2 linked regions of the Anolis sagrei genome follow. The protein of the gene in region 2 purifies or fractionates together with the protein of the main gene of each other region. This does not show direct contact. Links are inferred from orthologs where the notes say so. Each region holds a gene or a part of one and is shown on either strand. Other genes may lie near its edges.

The links.
Region 1: the proteins of RPTOR (region 2) and MLST8 purify together in Homo sapiens (affinity purification with western blotting; 15 studies listed by BioGRID and IntAct, with this or other methods). This does not show direct contact. The link is inferred for Anolis sagrei from reciprocal best matches to the Homo sapiens genes RPTOR and MLST8.

Annotation. Positions count from the first base shown.
Region 1 is NC_090034.1:21,487,950-21,498,117, forward strand, and holds the start of MLST8 (target of rapamycin complex subunit LST8), read left to right. Parts: upstream 1-6,542; 5' UTR 6,543-6,635; intron 6,636-7,103; exon of another isoform or gene 7,104-7,185; intron 7,186-8,232; 5' UTR 8,233-8,243; coding exon 8,244-8,372; intron 8,373-8,485; coding exon 8,486-8,537; intron 8,538-9,254; coding exon 9,255-9,417; intron 9,418-9,802; coding exon 9,803-9,878; intron 9,879-9,980; coding exon 9,981-10,133; intron 10,134-10,168.
Region 2 is NC_090022.1:130,446,388-130,455,790, reverse strand, and holds the start of RPTOR (regulatory-associated protein of mTOR), read right to left. Parts: upstream 4,299-9,403; 5' UTR 3,005-4,298; coding exon 2,843-3,004; intron 1-2,842. UniProt on the Homo sapiens protein: Component of the mechanistic target of rapamycin complex 1 (mTORC1), an evolutionarily conserved central nutrient sensor that stimulates anabolic reactions and macromolecule biosynthesis to promote cellular biomass generation and growth.

The sequences.
Region 1 (10,168 bases), on a different chromosome or scaffold from region 2:
GTGGGGTTCAGAATGCTCTTTGATTGTAGGTGAACTATAAATCCCAGCAACTACAACTCCCAAATGTCAAGAATCTATTTTCCCCAAACTCCACCAGTGTTCACATTGGGGCACATTGAGTATTCCTGTAGAATTTGGTCCAGATCCATCATTGTTTGAGTCCAAAGTGATCTCTGGATGTAGGTGAACTACAACTCCAAAACCAAAGGACACTGCCCACCAACCCCTTCCAGTATTTTCTGTTGGTCACGGGAGAACTGTGTGCCAAGTTTGGTTCAATTCCATCATTGGTGGGGTTCAGAATGCTCTTTGATTATAGGTGAACTATAAATCCCAGCAACTACAACTCCCAAATGACAAAATCATAATTTTTTGAGTGATGGTCACTCCTTGTGTTGTGAGACGTTTTGTTGCCAAATTTGGTGTGATTTTGTTCATTGGTCCTTTTGTTTTTAAAGTACTCATTATGCACAGAGCATTTTTATATATATAGATTATTATTATATCATCAATTTAATATTTGTTATTATCAGCAATTATTAGTCTATTAATATTATATTGCAATATTATTGTTATTACTTTAGTATATTATTTATATGATTATTATGATCAATTATTAATGTTATTATTAGATATTATTAGTCATTATATTGTGATATTGTTATTTTAGTATATTGTTTACTATATTATTATTATCATCATCAATCATCAATGTTATTATTATTATTAGCTATTATTAGTCATTATATTGTAATATTATTTTTGTATATCTCTCTATATAAAAATATAAAAAAAAATGCTCTGTGCATAATGAGTACCTCAAAAACAAAAGAACCAATGAACAAAATCACACCAAATTTGGCAACAAAATGTCTCACTACACACTCAAAAAATTATGATTTTGTCATTTGGGAGTTGTAGTTGCTGGGATTTATAGTTCACCTATAATCAAAGAGCATTCTGAACTCCACTAACAATGGAATTGAACCAAACTTGGCACACAGGCCTCCCATGACCACCAGAAAATACTGAAAGGGTTTGGTGGGCATTGACCTTGAATTCTGGAATTGTAGTATACCTCCATCCAGAGAACACTGTGGACTCACACAATGATGGATCTGGACCAAACTTGACAGGAATACTCAATATGCCCAAATGTGGACACAGAGGGATTTTGGGGGAAATAGACCTTGACATTTGGGAGTTGTAGTTACTAGGATGTATAGTTCACCTATAATCAAAGAGCATTCTGAACCCCACCAATGATGGAATTGGGCCAAACATCACACACAGAACCCCCATTATCAACAGAAAACTCTGTGCGGTCTTTGGTGACCGTTCTGACACCCCCCCCCCCCCGGGTCTTGACTTCCCAGGTTGAGAAATGCTGTCTAAGGCCATCCAGTCCAACTCCCTTCATCAGGGCCAGAAAACATAATCAAAGCCCTCCTGACAAAGGGCCATCCAGCCATTCACGCACACACATGTATATGACAAATAGAGTATCATAGATTTGAAAGGGACCCCTAAAGAAGGACAATGATATGTTGCATCTTCCAGAGTAAGTAAAACAGACAATCTCCACATCAACACTGACAAAGAAAGAACAAGAAATACTGTTTACCCACAAGCATCAAGACATTACATATATTAGAAACCAACACTTTCTCATTACTTTATTTTCCAGATCACCAGACTGGGCCACAGCAACGAATGGCAGGGGACCGCTAGTTATTTACTATATAATTAATTATTATTATGATCAATAATCAGAATGATCTCAATTCGAGTGCAAGGAAAGCCTTTCAACATCACAGTGATCCAAATATACGCCCCAACCACAGCTGCTGAAGAAGCAGAAGTAGATCAGTTCTATGAGGATCTGCAGGACCTACTGGATAATACACCAAAAAGAGACATTATTTTCATTACAGGAGACTGGAATGCCAAGGTGGGAAGTCAAATGACAACTGGGATCACAGGCAAGCATGGTCTGGGAGAACAAAATGAAGCGGGACGCAGGCTGATAGAATTCTGCCAGGAAAACTCGCTGTGTATAACGAATACTCTCTTCCAACAACCTAAAAGACGACTTTATACATGGACCTCACCAGATGGTCAACACCAAAATCAGATTGACTACATCCTTTGCAGCCAAAGGTGGCGGACATCCATCCAGTCGGTGAAAACAAGACCTGGGGCTGACTGTAGCTCAGATCACGAACTTCTTATTGCCCAATTTAGAATAAAACTAAAGAGATCAGGGAAAATACACAGACCAGTTAGATATGATCTCACTAACATTCCTAGCGAATATACAGTGGAAGTGAAGAACAGATTTGAAGGACTAGATTTAGTAAACAGAGTCCCAGAAGAACTATGGACAGAAGTCCGAGACATTGTTCAGGAGGCGGCAACAAAGTACGTTCCAAAGAAAAAGAAAACCAAGAAGGCAAAATGGTTGTCTGCTGAGACACTGGAAGTAGCCCAAGAAAGGAGGAAAGCAAAAGGAAACAGGGATAAGGGGAGATATGCCCAGTTAAATGCGCAATTCCAGAGGTTAGCCAGAAGAGATAAGGAACTATTTTTAAATAAGCAATGCATGGAAGTGGAAGAAGACAACAGAATAGGAAGGACAAGAGACCTCTTCCAGAAAATTAGAAACATTGGAGGTAAATTTCAGGCAAAAATTGGTATGATAAGAAACAAAGATGGCAGGGACCTAACAGAAGCTGAAGAGATCAAGAGAAGGTGGCGAGACTATACAGAAGATCTGTATAGGAAGGATAACAATATCGAGGATAGCTTTGACGGTGTGGTGAATGAATTAGAACCAGACATCCTGAGGAGTGAGGTTGAATGGGCCTTAAGAAGCATTGCTAACAACAAGGCAGCAGGAGACGACGGCATCCCAGCTGAACTGTTTAAAATCTTAAAAGATGATGCTGTCAAGGTGATGCATGCCATTTGCCAGCAAATATGGAAAACACAAGAATGGCCATCAGACTGGAAAAAATCAACTTATATCCCCATACCAAAAAAGGGAAATGCGAAAGACTGCTCAAACTTCCGTACAGTGGCCCTTATTTCTCATGCCAGTAAGGTAATGCTCAAGATCCTGCAAGGAAGACTCCAGCAATACATGGAGCGAGAGTTGCCAGATGTTCAAGCTGGGTTTAGAAAAGGCAGAGGAACGAGAGACCAGATTGCCAATATCCGCTGGATAATGGAGAAAGGCAGGGAGTTTCAGAAAAACATCTACTTCTGCTTCATTGACTATTCTAAAGCCTTTGACTGTGTGGATCATAATAAATTGTGGCAAGTTCTTGGTGGGATGGGTATACCAAGCCACCTTGTCTCTCTCCTGAGGAATCTGTACAAGGACCAAGTAGCAACAGTCAGAACTGACCACGGAACAACAGACTGGTTCAAGATTGGGAAAGGCGTCCGGCAAGGCTGCATACTCTCACCCAACCTTTTTAACTTGTATGCAGAACACATCATGCGATGTGCGGGGCTGGATGAATGCAAAGCTGGGGTGAAAATTGCTGGAAGAAACATTAACAACCTCAGATATGCAGATGACACCACTCTGATGGCCGAAAGCGAGGAGGAGCTGAGGAGCCTTCTAATCAAGGTGAAAGAAGAAAGCGCAAAAGCCGGGTTGCAGCTAAACGTCAAAAAAACCAAGATTATGGCAACAAGAATGATTGACAACTGGAAAATAGAGGGAGAAACCGTGGAGGCCGTGACAGACTTTGTATTTCTAGGTGCAAAGATTACTGCAGATGCAGACTGTGGCCAGGAAATCAGAAGACGCTTACTTCTTGGGAGGAGAGCAATGTCCAGTCTCGATAAAATAGTAAAGAGTAGAGACATCAGACTGGCAACAAAGATCCGCCTAGTCAAAGCCATGGTATTCCCTGTAGTCACCTACGGATGTGAGAGCTGGACCTTAGGGAAGGCTGAGCGAAGGAAGATCGATGCTTTTGAGCTGTGGTGTTGGAGGAAAGTGCTGAGAGTGCCTTGGACTGCGAGAAGATCCAACCAGTCCATCCTCCAGGAAATAAAGCCCGACTGCTCACTGGAGGGAAAGATACTAGAGACAAAGTTGAAGTACTTTGGCCACATCATGAGGAGACAGGAAAGCCTAGAGAAGACAATTATGCTGGGGAAAGTGGAAGGCAAAAGGAAGAGGGGCCGACCAAGGGCAAGATGGATGGATGGCATCCTTGAAGTGACTGGACTGACCTTGAGGGAGCTGGGGGTGGTAACGGCCGACAGGGAGCTCTGGCGTAGGCTGGTCCATGAGGTCACGAAGAGTCGGAGACGACTGAACGAATGAACAACAACATGATCAATAATATATACCCTGGACTTTCCAGAGATATATAAACCCAATTTTCCTAGTTTCCAACAGACCTCACAACCTCTGAGGATGCCTGCCATAGATGCAGGCGAAACGTCAGGAGAGAATGCTTCTTGAACATGGCCATACAGCCCGAAAAAACTTCAAAAATCCAGTGATTCCAGCCATGAAAGCCTTTGACAATACATTACTGTTATTAATGTCAAGTCAGGGGCGACTTGAGAAACAGTGTGAGAGAATTGGCTATCTGCAAGGGTGTTGCCCAGGGGACGCCTGGATGTTTAGATGTTTTACCATTCTTGTGGGAAGCGTATTTCATGTCCCTGCATGGGCAGCTGGAGCTGACAGAGGGAGCTCATCTGTGCTCTCTTCAGATTTGAACCTCCAACCTGTCGGTCTTCAGTCCTGCTGGCACATGGGTTATTATTATTCTATTATTATTATTCTATTATTATATTGCGATATTATTATTTTAATCTATTATTTAGTTTGTTGTTCATTCGTTCAGTCGTCTCCGACTCTTCGTGACCTCATGGACCAGCCCACGCCAGAGCTCCCTGTCGGCCGTCACCACCCCCAGCTCCTTCAAGGTCAGTCCAGTCACTTCAAGGATGCCATCCATCCATCTTGCCCTTGGTCGGCCCCTCTTCCTTTTACTTTCCACTTTCCCCACATTATTTAGTATATTAAATTATTTAGTATATTAAATAATTATTTAGTATATTATTATTATTATTGCTTTTTTTATATCCCGCTCCCTCCCCTGATGAGACTCAGAGCAGCTTACAAAAAAAAAGAAACAAACAATAATAAACACACTGTCAAAAACAGCCTCAAACAGAGAAGAGTTATTTCTCCTACCCTGTACATTATTTCATAGATATATAAACCCGAATTGCCTAGTTTACAACAGACCTCACAACCTCTGAGGATGCCTGCCATAGATATGGGTAACGTCAGGAGAGAATGCTTCTGGAATATGGCCATACAGCCCAGAAAACTCACAGCAACCCAGTGATTCTGGCCATGAAAGCCTTCGACAACACAATGTCAAAAATAACTCAATAACAATAAAATAAACAAGGCAAACACAAAACATTGTTGCTGTTATTGTTGTTGTTGTTGTTGTTGTTGTTATGAATTACCCCCTTCTAGCCATCTGTCCCATCCAGGGCTGGGCAAAGATGATCCTTCCAGATATTATTATTACTATTATTATTATTGTTACTAGATTATTAATATATTACATTATTAATAATGTTATGTGGGAAAGAGAAGATCTCTCCACTTAATATTATTAGTACTAATATAATAAATTATTATTTTTATTAGCCTCTTCTAGCTTTTCTGCTTCATTCAGAATTATGAAGAGCAGATTCCTTCACTTATTAATATTATTAGTACAATATAATAATAATAGTATTATATTGAATTACATTATAACATCATTATCAATATTACATGTATATGCATTATATTAGCATAGCACAATATTAGTATTATACATTACTATATTAATAATATTACATGTAATATATAATATACAATTATTATATATAATTATAAAGTACTATATTATTATTATTATATATAATACACTATTAGTATATTATATTATTGGTATCATAACATATATTGTACTATTATAAGTTGTCGTATATATTATATATATTACAACATTATTATTATATATATTAGTATTATTACATTAAAATGTTATTATTGTATGTATACCTCTCTTAATGCATTGCATATATATGCATGTGTGGTGGTGCAATGCATTAACAGAAGTATATAAATATATACATATATATATACACACACATTGTATATTTACTATGTATATATGCATACTCCTATTAATTTGTCTTATTGTTTGCTGTCTGAAGTCCCTATATTGGAAGCCAGACAGGATTTATGATTTATGCATTATCATAAATCATCATTTTCTATATCAAAAACATCATCATCCAGGGACTGGAGGCTTGGGTGAGCTTCCCTGACAGACGCTACTGCGCATGTCCGAGTTGGGCCCTGCTCTGGCTTTCCCACTCTCTGCCGACAGGTGTCGCTGCTTCCCTATGGGGCGGCCATAGAACTAGGAACACTTTCCCATGTGTTCTAGGGTCTCTTCTGCGCATGCGGACTGGTTTCCTCGTTTCACATGCGCACTAGGTGCCCAATGGATGCTCGTGTGCGCATGCGCCGTGGCTGTCTTGTTCCTAGTCTGCCTGTCTGCCCAGTAGTCCTTCCTTTAATTCCGAAGGTAAGTAGCAATTCCCCCACCCAAAATATTTATATTTCTTATACTTACGTTTGTGTAATTTCTGAGCTCAAGGTTGTCCATTTTCTGCCCTAATTTATGCTGACAATGAGCCCTGCAAGATGGGAATAAGAGGCTCAATGAGGACCAGAAGCTTGGATCTCCCAGCTTAAGGGCCTCTAAACTCAGAGACCCTACAACAACAACAACAACAACAGTAATCATAATGATGCAGACTGTGCATTCCTTTTTCCCAAATACTCCAAAATGATCCCCATTTGCGAGAGTTTTAAAATGCATTTTATTATTTTAATTTCTCTTTGCTGTAATGTCAGAAGGTCCTTAATTGTTTATTATTTCAATGCATGTACATTGCTTCATTGAGTAGTTTTTAATGCCTTTTTAATATGTTTATGTCCATTTGCTTTAATGATGGAAAGGGCCAATTTTTATTTTTATTTATTTATTTAGGGTATTTCTACCCCACCTTTCTCCGCAACTGGGACTCAAGGTGGCTTACAGCATACCAACATATAACATTCATCATAAAAAGGTAAAACCATAATAAAAACATCGATACATAAAATAAGGTAAAAGCAATAGCCTCCCCCGTGTTTGCTTCCCTATGTACCAACATTAAAATCCCTAATATCCTCCCATACTTCAGTTAAAAGCCTTATTAAACGGAAAGGTTCTATGCTTCTATGCATGTACGTCACTTCATTGAGTAGTTTTTAATGTATTGTACTATTTTATATGCATTTGTTTTAATGGCAGAAAGTGAGGGTAGAGGAAAGGATGGGAAAGGAAGGAAGGGAGAAAGGAAGGAAGGAAGGAAAGAAGGGTGAAAGGCTGGAAAAAAGGAAGGGGGAGAGAAGGAGGGATAGAAGGAAGGGCAGGTCTATGAGGGAAAGCAAGGGAAGGAAGGAAGGGAGAAAAGGGAAAGAAGGGCAAGGGAGAGAAAAAGGAAGAGGAAGGAAGGAAGGACGGACGGATGGGTGGAAGGAAGGAAGGGAAGAGAGGAAGGAAGGATGAAAGGTTGGAAAAAAGGATTTGGGAGAAGAAGAAGGAAGGATGGAAGGAAGAAGCAGGGAGGTTGCATGAGGGAAGAAGGAAGAAAGGGAGAAAAGGGAAAGAAGGAAGGAAATGGGAGACAGAAGAGGAAGGGAGAGAGGGAGGGGGAGAGAAGGAGAAGAGAAGGTCGAAAGGCTGGAAAGAAGTGGGAAAGAAGGAAGGAAGGAAGGAAAAAGCAGGGAAGGTATAAGGGAAAGCAAGGGGAGAAGGAAAGGGGAGAGAAAAAGGAAGGAAGAGGGAGAGAGGAAGGAAAGAAGGATGGAAGGAAGGAAGAGAAAAAAGGAATGAAGGAAGAGGGAGAGAGGAAAGAAGGAAAAAAGAAAAGAGCAGAGAAGGTGTATGAGGGAAAGCATAGAAAGAAGAAAGGAAGGGGGAGGGGAAAAAAAGAAGGAAAAAAGGAAGGAAGGGAAAAAAGAAAGGAAGGAGAAGGTGTAGGAAGGAAACAGAGAGGAAGGAAAGAAAGAACCATAAAGAAGATGAAAACTGGAGTCCAGTAAGAAAGACCTTTGTGTGGATGTTTCCTCAGGCCACAGAGGCATGAACACCGCACAGGGCACCGTGGGCAGCGACCCAGTCATCCTGGCCACCGCTGGCTATGACCATACTGTCCGCTTCTGGCAGGCCCACAGCGGGATCTGCACCCGGACCGTCCAGCACCAGGACTCTGTATCCTTTGGCTGCATGGGAAGGCAGAATGCTGGGGTTTACAACCTTCCTAGGGGTTTTTTGGAGGGCTGGATGGGGTTGCCTTCTGTTTGCCCCTTAACCCCTTTTGCCAGCAGGTCAATGCTCTGGAGATCACCCCGGACCGGACCATGATAGCTGCAGCCGGTAAGGATGCCATCTGCAGACAGCATGGTGTAGCATAGTTTGTGTGCTTATTACATGCTTTCAAGGGAGCATCTACACTGTGGAATGAACACAGTTTGACACCACTCTTAACCCCAGTGGCTCAGTGCTACTTTTTGAGCTTCTCTGTCAAAAAGCACAGGTGCCTGACTGATTTCACAGCTTCAAGCCAGGACAGTTAAAATAGTGCCAAACTGTATTACCTTCAAAGTGTAGATGAACACCGAGTCCACTCTAGCCGTATAGTTTTATTCTTAAAATCTTTTGTCAAAGAGGCAATGTTTCTTGATGTTTTACTTTCTTTCCTTGTAGTGCTAGAAGTCCACGTTATAGAGATTGAACCATTCTTGACCCACTTCAAGTGCATCATTCTACACTGTAGAACGAATGCAGTTTGACATTGCTTTAACTGCCATGGCTCAAAAATATAGAGTTGTAATTTTGAACTTTTTGGCAGAGAAGATGAAAGACTTTATAAACATACATCTGCAGAATTCATTAGCATTGAGCCCTTGTAGTTAAAGCAGTGTCAGGCTGCATTCATTCTACAGATGCACCCTGGGTCAATAATTATGTGTTTTTGAGAATGGCTGCCTCTCTCTGAGAAGTAGAATTGCACCTGAACCCTCTTATTTGTGATGCTGGCATTAATAAATAACTTCCAGGCCTTTGGGAGCTGAGATGGTGTCTCTTCTGCAGGCTACCAGCACATCCGGATGTATGACTTGAACTCCAACAACCCGAACCCCGTCATCAACTACGACGGAGTCAGCAAGAACATCACCTCAGTGGGTTTCCATGAAGATGGGCGCTGGATGTACACTGGGGGAGAAGACTGCATGGCCCGTATCTGGGACCTCCGGTTTGTGGCCTCTTTCCTCTCCTTAACCCTGATGGGGCTTTTGCACAACACTGTCATCCCACTTAGCATGGCAACAGGACCCTAGGATATCCAGTTCAGGAGGGGCAGCTAGAATTCTCCCCCAGAGAGCTCTAGTGCCTCATCAGACTACAGATACCAGAATTCTCCAAGTGCAGAACGTTATTAAATGTGAAATAGGCACAGAGCATGGAATGCAATTCACCAATGCTTTTTTAGATCCACGGTGTGGACCCAAGAGGGCACACTTCTGCAAATGTGCTGCATTCCTCTGCCTTCACACATTATAATGTATATTATATCTGGGTATAATATATCCATTGGATTGTTGACCTTCACCCGTCTGGAATCGATTTCTGCTTTCCAGGTCACGCAACCTGCAGTGCCAGCGCATCTTCCAGGTGAACGCACCTATCAACTGTGTTTGCCTGCATCCTAATCAGGTATTTATTTGTTCCAGAGTGGTGGAGAATGAGGCCCTTTCTTCCTTCCTTTCACACCTCCTCCTTTTCCTTTTCTACTGATGCCATTTGTGTGTCTCTCAGGCAGAGCTCATTGTCGGGGACCAGAGTGGGGCCATCCACATCTGGGACCTGAAGACAGACCACAACGAGCAGCTCATCCCAGAACCTGAGGTCTCAGTCAATTCCGTCCACATTGACCCTGACGCCAGCTACATGGCCGCTGTCAATAGTTCGGTCAGTGCAAAGAGGGACTTTATTATCCCACTTGC
Region 2 (9,403 bases):
AGGCGCTGTTATTCAGTATACTAATACAAAGTTCCCAAGAGTGTAGCGTTAACAGGCTTAAGAACTTTGACTCTCCAGTAAAAGGTGTGAAATAAACTCCAATTAAAGGCTGCACTTGCTGCTGCGTTAAATAAAGATTAGCTTCAGTGTAGGGTTTATTTAAAGTAAGATAGCACATATTTCCTTCACTCATTGACAAAAAAGGCACTTATGAATGATCTGAAATAATCTGTTTCCTTCGTCTGAGCCCTCCATGGAAACCAAAACAAGTTCTGGGCTGAATTCTAGTAGTCCTTGCTGAAATTAATTCCAGAAGAGAGAAACAAGACAGATTGTCTTGTTTTGTTATTAGGATGAAAAATTAAGTATTTATCGTAATTTAAAATCTATATGAAAGAGACACAAAAAAGCTTAACTAATGCAGTTTTGACACTTGTTTCTGTACTTAATATATTGTGTACCTCTTTTTATTCCTGCTTCACTTACAAAAGTTTTTAAGAAGTATTCCCCACCTCATAAAAATATATAATGAAAACAAGTCGCAGAAAATAATCCCAAACAACCCTTGGTTAGCATAGAAGATCAACATAAAAATTCACTACGTTGCAAACATAGAAATACTCAACAATAAGCAGATGATCAAAGTTTCCAAAATGTGCAGGAGATGGATTTTCAAAAAAAAAAAAAACAACTACAGATTTTGCAGTTTTTCATATCAAAGCATTGTAGACAATAAAAATGTTAACAGGTATTGGGACTGTGTATATAAAATACATTGTCTATTTTTTTCCTATTCTTTAGAAAAACATTAATGCAGGGGTCCTCAAACTAAGGCCCGGGGGCCGAATATGGCCCTCCAAGGTAATTTACCCGGCCCTCACTCAGGGTCAACCAAAGTCTGAAACTACTTGAAAGCACACAACAATAACAACAATCCTATCTCATCAGCCAAAAGCAGGACCACACTTCCCACTGAAATACTAGTAAGTTTATATTTGTTTAAATTGTTCTTTATTTTAATTATTGTATTGTTTTAAAGTTTTTGCATTACAAATAAGATAAGTGCAATTACTCATAGGAATTCATTCATTTTTTTCAAATTATAATCCGGCCCTCCAACAGTTTGAAGGACTGTTTCTAGCCCTCTGTTTAAAAAGTTTGAAGACCCCTGCATTAATGTATCTCCCGGGCTCAAAAACTTCCTGCTCCCCTTTTCTCTTCTTGCAGAGCCCTGAAGGCGTTTAAACACTTTCACTTTCAGTCAGCGATGGCTTGCAATGTTATCAAGAGCTGGACTGAAATGAATATTCGCCATGCTTAATATAAGAATTTATTTCAAAAAACAGTATTTGGTCAGCTTTTTAGAATCTAATCATCATTAACATTTGGGGCACAACTCATTCCAAACAAAAAGCTTCTAGAAGCCTTCCTGACTGGAATGAAAGGGGCAAGTAAGAAAGTATGGATGAACTCAGAGAAGGCTAAGCTCCTTTACAATCACATTAAAATGAACTTCGGCATGTTAGCCACAAACATTTGTTTTAAGTTTAGCAATATCTAATTACTGTTTTTAAAATAAAAAAAACAGTTACACTACCATTTATAATATACAATTTTATAAATAACATCTACAATAAACCATTAAACAAAAAGTCATATATCCTGCTTACAGCACTAAGTTGTCTTGGATACTCCCAAAACCCATAAATCCTACTTCTTGTGTTACAGAAAAAGTAGGTTCTGACAGACCACAAGATGCATTCAAGAAGCTTTAGAAGTTCTAAATCACTATTCATTTCCATATTACGACTTCATATGCATAGAAAAGAGATGCCATAGAAAAGCTTCTCCCAGCACTTATACAGTTTCCACAGCAGCTGTACCAGAACAGCACTTTACCACAGTGAATGAGCAAGGAAGAAAATATCTCTTTTTAGCACTGTGAGACTAGTACTGATTTATTTACATACTGATGCTGTGAAACAAACCATGTAATCAGGGTCACAGACAGCTGTATATTCAGACACATTTCAAATGAGGCAACATTCCAAGTTATTTTGGTTAATTTTTTCACTTGCTATAAAGATAAGTTCCATACTGCTGTTAAACATAAACCCTACTTTTGTAAATCAATATAAGGGAATACTTTAGGAGTTGATTTGACTGATAAGTTTTCCCACTAGCTATCTCTCTCAGAAATGTCTTCATTCGCTGATTATCTAAACTTCCTCAAAGGCAACATAATAATTAACAAATAATTCTAGAATGCCTAACAACAGCAATTTGACTGTATAATCTTTCCTGCAAAAAGTTAGCAGGAGAAATAATTGAGTCTGGAACAGAGATTCTATAATTTCTTGTGGATTTCCATTTCTAAAACAACCAGAACAACACCATTGTATAAATAAATTTTGTTGTGTATAATTTTCATAAATGTTGTCACTCTCATTTTTAGCTTCATTAAAAATGAAATGTCCCATGTGACACATGGTTAAGGAAATAGAACTTTAAATTCACTAATAGAACAAATCTGTACATGACACTTCCACATGAAGCAATCTCCATCCAGATACTTGCCAAGTAAATGTTAAGACCTCATTTTAATTAACTTAGAATTAATTCATTTTCAAAGAAGAAAAAGCAAATTATTTAAACCTAGTGATTTGGTGCCGTGTTAGCATGCAGTGTTGGCTACATTTATTGAGTGTTCAACACAAAATAAATTAATAGAATTCAACCAGGAATGTACAAGACCTACAGAAAAAGTGTGTAGAATCTAGTTGAACAGAACATGCAAATCTTTTCTTTCTCCCAAACAAAAACTGTAACTAGAGATCATTACCCTGTCTTTCATCCGCCAACTCTGAGCCAGTGATTTGGAGCCTTCAATCTTCTCACAGTGCCGCTTCTTCATGAAGGCCAAAGGCAGATTCCAGTCAGTCATGTCTGATTCATCTTCCTCCCCAAGCCCCAGTAGGGGAGACTGCAACATATCTGACTCCATGAGAGGAGAAAGAACCAAGGGAACCAATGATCAAAAGTCAAGGATCAACAAAGTATGAGCAAAAAAGCTATTAGGAGAGCAAGGGAACCTCTCAACTGCAGTTCCAGGTGACGCTTCAGGGAAAGGTGTCTTGTTCAAATGCTGTTGTTTGTTAAAGTGTGTAGAAATATTCTCTTTTCAGCAGCGGGGGGGGGGGGGGGGGCTTTCCAGTTTGGAAGAAGCAAGCTTGGTGAGTAATGCAATCACGATACAAGAGACAACTATCTTGCAGGAAATGGATGATCACTGTCTAGCTGAAGAATCAAGTCACAGATGTGCATGGAGGTTCTTTCTCCCACTCACTTTCTCAAATAGGGTGTGCAATTGCGAAATGCCTCTCAATCTAAACAAAACATAAAAGTCATTTCAAATCACGAAAACAATGTTCCACAATAGAGACTGCTTAGTTCATCAAGATGGGCCTACAAGTATTTTAGGCAGAAGAATGTGATTCTAGTAAAGAACTCCAACCACTGCAAGGAAGGAACAAAGTATAAAAGCAGGATGACAGCAGGTCAGGAGGAGTGACACTGGGAAATTGTGGCCAAGGGAGGACAGGTGAAGTGAGGATACTCAGCTGCAGAGTCACACCAGAAGCCTCCTTTCAAGTGAAAAGGGGAAGCTGTTGCTGGGAGCGTGTCCCTGTTAAGGGCCCTTTTGTGGGGTGCTCTTAGGGGGATGCTTGCAGAAACGGGTGGTGCTTCTGGGTCCAATGGGAAGGAGGTCCGGGGCGCCACAACCGGAGCGACGATGGGGGAACTGCAGAGACAGGCCCTGGCCAAAGGACGACGAGGAGCGGCAGAGCTGGCAGGGACCGGGGCTGCTTGGCGCCTCTGTGCTCCAGGCCTGGCTCGCTTCTCCTGGCTGAGAAGACCACGCCCACCCTCGACCAGGCCCAGTCCGGTCCAGGCGGCGGCGGGCAAGCTCTCCTTGCCGGGAGGCCTCTCTCTCTGGCGTGGGCCGGCGAGGGGAGCACGCTCCTACCCCCGAGGCGGTGCCTGCTCGCTGCCCGGCCGTTCCTCCTCCTGCTGCTGCTGCTCCTGCGATGGGGGTCCCGTCCGCCGCATCGCCATCCCCGCCGCGGGCAGGTGGCGGCTCCTCTCCCTGGACAAAAGCCCCGGGCTGCCGGGTGAGGAGAACGGGAGGGAAACGTCCCGGAGAGCCAAACTCGCCTCAGCAACTCAACAAGGAGGCAGCCATATTGCCGAGGCCCACAATGCATCACGGCGACGGGCCGCCGGCCGGCTCATGCTGAGTGAGATGCGTTCGGTACGGGCGAGTTCAAGGGAGGGAGGAGCAGCAGCAGCCGCCAGAGGGTTGCCGGGGCAACGCTCCAAGCATTCGCCTGGCCTTTCGGCTCCGGGAGGGAGGGAGGGAGGGAGGGGCTGCCCACTCGCCCACCCCCCCCCCCCCAAGGCCCAGGAAGGGACATGGATCCTCACGGCTGAGAGCTATGATGAGATTCTTATAAATAAGTAAACTTACGGTATCAGGCGGCCTGAGTGTTGGGTCACGGTGCAAGTTTGCTGTAGAATTACTGCGATTTGACACCACTTTAGTTGGTATGGTGTAATGTTATGGTCTCCTGGGAGTTGTAGTTTGCCAATGTCTTCAACCTTCTCTGCAAAGAGTGCTGGTGCCTCACTGTGCTCCAGATCCCATGGTGATGTAGCACTGAGCCATCAAAGACACCAGACCACCACCCCCAATCAGGCATGTAGCCGGGAGGGGGGGGGGCTTGGGGGGCTTCAGCCCCCCCCCCCCGAAATTCTCAGGGTGGTCCGCGAGAAGACCTTACTGGTACATTATTTAAACTGTTATGTTTATTCATATCATGATCTGATCACCATGCTCAATATATCCCATATGTATGGGGGTATTGGGGTAATGATACAAAAGGTTTGCTAGGGTAGGGCCTCTTTCACTCAGACTCACCCCCCCCCCCCCGAATCAAACTCACCCCCCCCCCCCCCCCGAAACAAAATCCTGGCTACAAGCCTGCCCCCAATAAAATATATACACAAATCAAACTCAAGGATTTATAGTTTTATCAAGGATGGAGGACCCACTGGGCTAAAAGCAGTCTCCATCCTCATAGTCATTCTGCAACAATACAGAATGAGGGATGTTTGGCTCGACATGTGAAAAAGATCTTGGAGTCCTCGTGGACAGGAAGGTGAACATGAGACCACAATGTCATGCGGCAGCTTAAAAGGCAATGGGATTTTTGCTTGCATAAATAGGAGTATAGTGTCTAGATCCAGGGAAGTCATGCTCCCCCTCTATTATGCCTTGGTCAGACCACACCTGAAATGTCCAATTCTGGGCACAGCGATTGAAGGGAGATGTTGACAAGCTGGACTGTGTGCAGAGTAGGGCGACTCAAATGATCAAGGGTTTGGAGAACAAGCCCTATGAGGAGTGGCTTAAGGAGCTGGGCATGTTTATTTATTTATTTATTTATTTACAGTATTTATATTCCGCCCTTCTCACCCCACAGGGGACTCAGGGCGGATTACAGTGTACACATATATGGCAAACATTCAATGCCAATTTGACATGCAACATATACAGACATACACAGAGGCTATTTACCTTTTTCTGGCTGCCAGGGGAGCTGTCGCTTTCATCGTCCTTCTGCGACACTGATGAAGTACTTCCGCATTCCTCGCATGCTTTTGCTGGAGTGCTTTGCTGGAGTCTTTTTTAAGGCCTCATAAATTGGTTAATTTAGCCTCCCCACACAAGGTGGTACCTAATTTTCCTACTTGACAGATGCAACTGTCTTTCGGGTTGCAAAGGTCGACAACAGGCTACACAATTGGTTGGAAGCCCACTCCAACCCGGGCTGGCTTCAAACTCATGACCTTTTGGTCAGAGTGCTCTTAATGCAGCTGACAGCCAGCTGTGCCACAATCCCTTCAGTCTTCTCTCAATTTCTTTGTGCTACTGAAACAGAGTCCCACGGAGGCTATCACATGACACCAGGCCACTTCCAATGGTTGCCTGTAGGACTCTTTTGTGACAACACAGAGAAACAGGGGGAAGACTGTAAAATGACAGATAAGAGAGAGAAAAGAATAACGATAAGTAGCATAGATTAGGTACGCTCAATAGTTTATGGTAGAGGAGTAGTACCATTAAAATAATTCTTAACCACCTTTAGTCTCCTTCACCGTAAAGCTGCCAGCATCCCAGTGGCCTTAATCCAGGATATACCTTTTGTTCAAGTAGTACAGGTTGATTAAATTTATCTATTTCTAGATATGTTTAAATTGGCAATTGTAAAACTAAGAGCTCCTCTCAACCTGTTTTCTAAATGGATATATATTATTAAGAATATTGTATCTTGAACCCATTTTTCATAAAAAGCATAATTGTGTGTGTGTGTGTGTGTAACCATCCATTTTCAAGGCACTTTACAAGAAAACACCCCCAAATGGAGGGTTCTGTCAGTGGCTTACAATCTCAAATATGCAAATGTAAAGGGATGACAAGAATCATAAAACTTTACAATCTAATTGTAAAACAAATTATCTGAATAAAATACAAAATATAATATTAAACTAACATGTCACTCAAGCATCAGATTTTCTAAAGCAACAATTTTTTATATCCTTTGTGTTATTTGATACACATCAGTCTTTCTCTGTTAAAACATATAGTTCATGTCAGATAGCGGTAATTTGGGGTATGACCTGTTGAATTATCACATCTGAAGGCATATCATTTCAAATATATGGCACGAGGCCTAAAAGCTTTTAAATGTATTTTTTCACATTGGAAAAAGCTCAGATAACATGCCTTAAAAAGCTTAGAAAATGTAAACGACTTTAAAATAAAGACATAGCTGGCACTTCACTGTGCCTCCAAAAATTGTTGGTTTTATATATGTGTGTATTTATTTAAAACAGTTATACCCCGTCCTTCTCAACCTCCGAAGAGGGACTCAGGATGGCTTTCAACAGGCAACCATTCAGTGCCAACACAATATAAAACATATCATAAAATACAACCATATACATTAAAACGGTTATAAATATACATTAAAAGTGGTTCGCCAAGTTAAATTCGTCATCCAAATGCAAATTAAAAGAAAAACTTATAAATGGGGTTGACTTACATATGAGCTTGACTATACCGTAGTTGATCACTTATGAGTCTATATTTGAGTCTAAACAGTAAATCTAATGTAGGGAAACATTTCCCTTTCATATGTTTTAGCCTTCCATCCACCCCACCCAGCGTCACCAATGGTAATAAACCTTGGGAACTATATGTCAAAAGATTTAGGTGACCAAAGGTTCCCTTACCACTGGCTTGTTTATAGCAATATCTTTCTAAGCTCTGACACTTCAGCCCTGACTTATGACTCAAATTCTGCTTCTTCCTTGACAGGTTTCAGTTCTTTATTTTTATTCCCAAAGGTGTGTTTCAGACTTACAGGTCACCTTAGTTGGCTGCCTACAGGTCAGTTCTCATAAGGCTTCTGTGTGCAGAAGAACTGTTTTGATGAATCAGACCAAGTTTCATCTACTCCAACATTCAAACAATCACCTGCCAGGTGCGCTAGAGGTTCATAAGAAGGGCAGGAAGGCAAAGGTCCCAATCTGTTGTTTATTCAGAGCATCTGGTACTCAGATGTTTACAACTACTGGTCATGGAAGGTTAAGTCTCATGACTTAAAAGTGTTGATCACTGCAACCTCCAATAATCTGTCTAGGCCTTTAAAAACCCATCTAATTTAGCAACCATAACCACAATTTGCAGTAATTACCTTGACAGGTGTGAAATACTTTATTTTGTTTGTCCTGAACTTGATGTCAATAACTTTATTGGATCAGCTTGTGTGAGAGAATACTCACCACCCGCTGCCAACCCCCCCCCCCCCCCCCCGGCATCTTTTTGATGAACCAGAAAGCCCCAAGCTCTTGTGAGTTGTAAGAAGCATTCATGAATATTCTGCCCTGAATCAGCATAACACCAGAAACAACCTTGAAGTAGCTTGAATTGTAGGGCACTGAAGTGGAGTTTGTTTTTGCAATGCAGTATTCAAACTACTAGTTTTATCAGGAGTTCATTTGAATTCTCAGCAATGATCTTCCTTGGGGGGAAAAATCTTGGGGTGTGCCTTCAGGTGATAATGGGGTGAAACAATGAGCATTTTGCTAGGTCATATGTTATTTAATTAACATGGTAATATTAGAATGTCAGAAACTTGCACTGAATGACAAGGCACAAAGAATATATCATATATGTTTTCTTTTGTCTAGTAAACATTTGGTGCCTGAAATGTTAGACCTGTTTCTGGGTATTTTTGACCTGCTACTGTAACCTCCCAAGAAGTGAGAGATTCTGCGTCTGGGGAGAACAAACAGTGGAAGACATTGAACATTTCTTAATTGACTGTCCAGCATACACTGAACTGCAAGACAGATATTTACATCCAATATTATCCAACTGCAGGTCCCCCAACAGAAATGATATTCTGACATCCCTCTTGCAAGGGCAGGAAAGATCCAGCATAATCAGAGTAAGCCTTTTTATTCTGAAAGCTACTAAGAAAAGAGCAGATTTCCTGAAAGAAGAACCAGGAAAATAAGATTCTGACTTATCACCTTGTTGCCTTGTTTGTTACTCATGTTCTATTTTGAAATGGTCATATGACTGATCAAATAAATAAATATTATTATTATTATTACCTGCTGATTCCAAAAATAGCACTGGCTTTTGCCTATCAGCTGTAGTTTTTAAGATACACAACATATGCCATATAAAGTATCTGTCTTCGTCTAGTCAGCCATAGGAAATCATTATAACCATATCTAAGGAACTACAGCTGATGAAATCTTGCCAATGCAATTTTCTAAATCAGCGTCCCAAATAACCCCAGGATCAGGCCTAAAAACCAAGATACCCAAGAGGATTTTTTGTTGGTGTTATCAAACATAATCACCCCTCCCCCCTAAATAAAAAGAGTCATAGTTCAGTCCCCAGTAAGTTATATTTTCCCAAGGATGGAGGGCCAAATTAGTGGCAATGGCCACTATCCCTGCAGCCTCATTCGAGCCTCCTAGGACCACCAGCAACCCTAACTCCATTGCCCCCAAATCCCCACACCTCAGTTCTGCTTTTCAGTCTTAGCTGGAGATCACCTCATACCTCCCTTTCTCCCAACTAAGTTGCAACTCAAACTGCTATAATATATCGGGCACCTCCAATTCCGGACCCTCTACTACAAAGTATCTTTCTATACTTGTGCTATTGATATTTGATATTGGAACGGCCTTGGACTATGTTTTTTGGATTATGTGATTTCGATGTTTATAATAATATGTTTTTAACTCTACGTTTTAATGT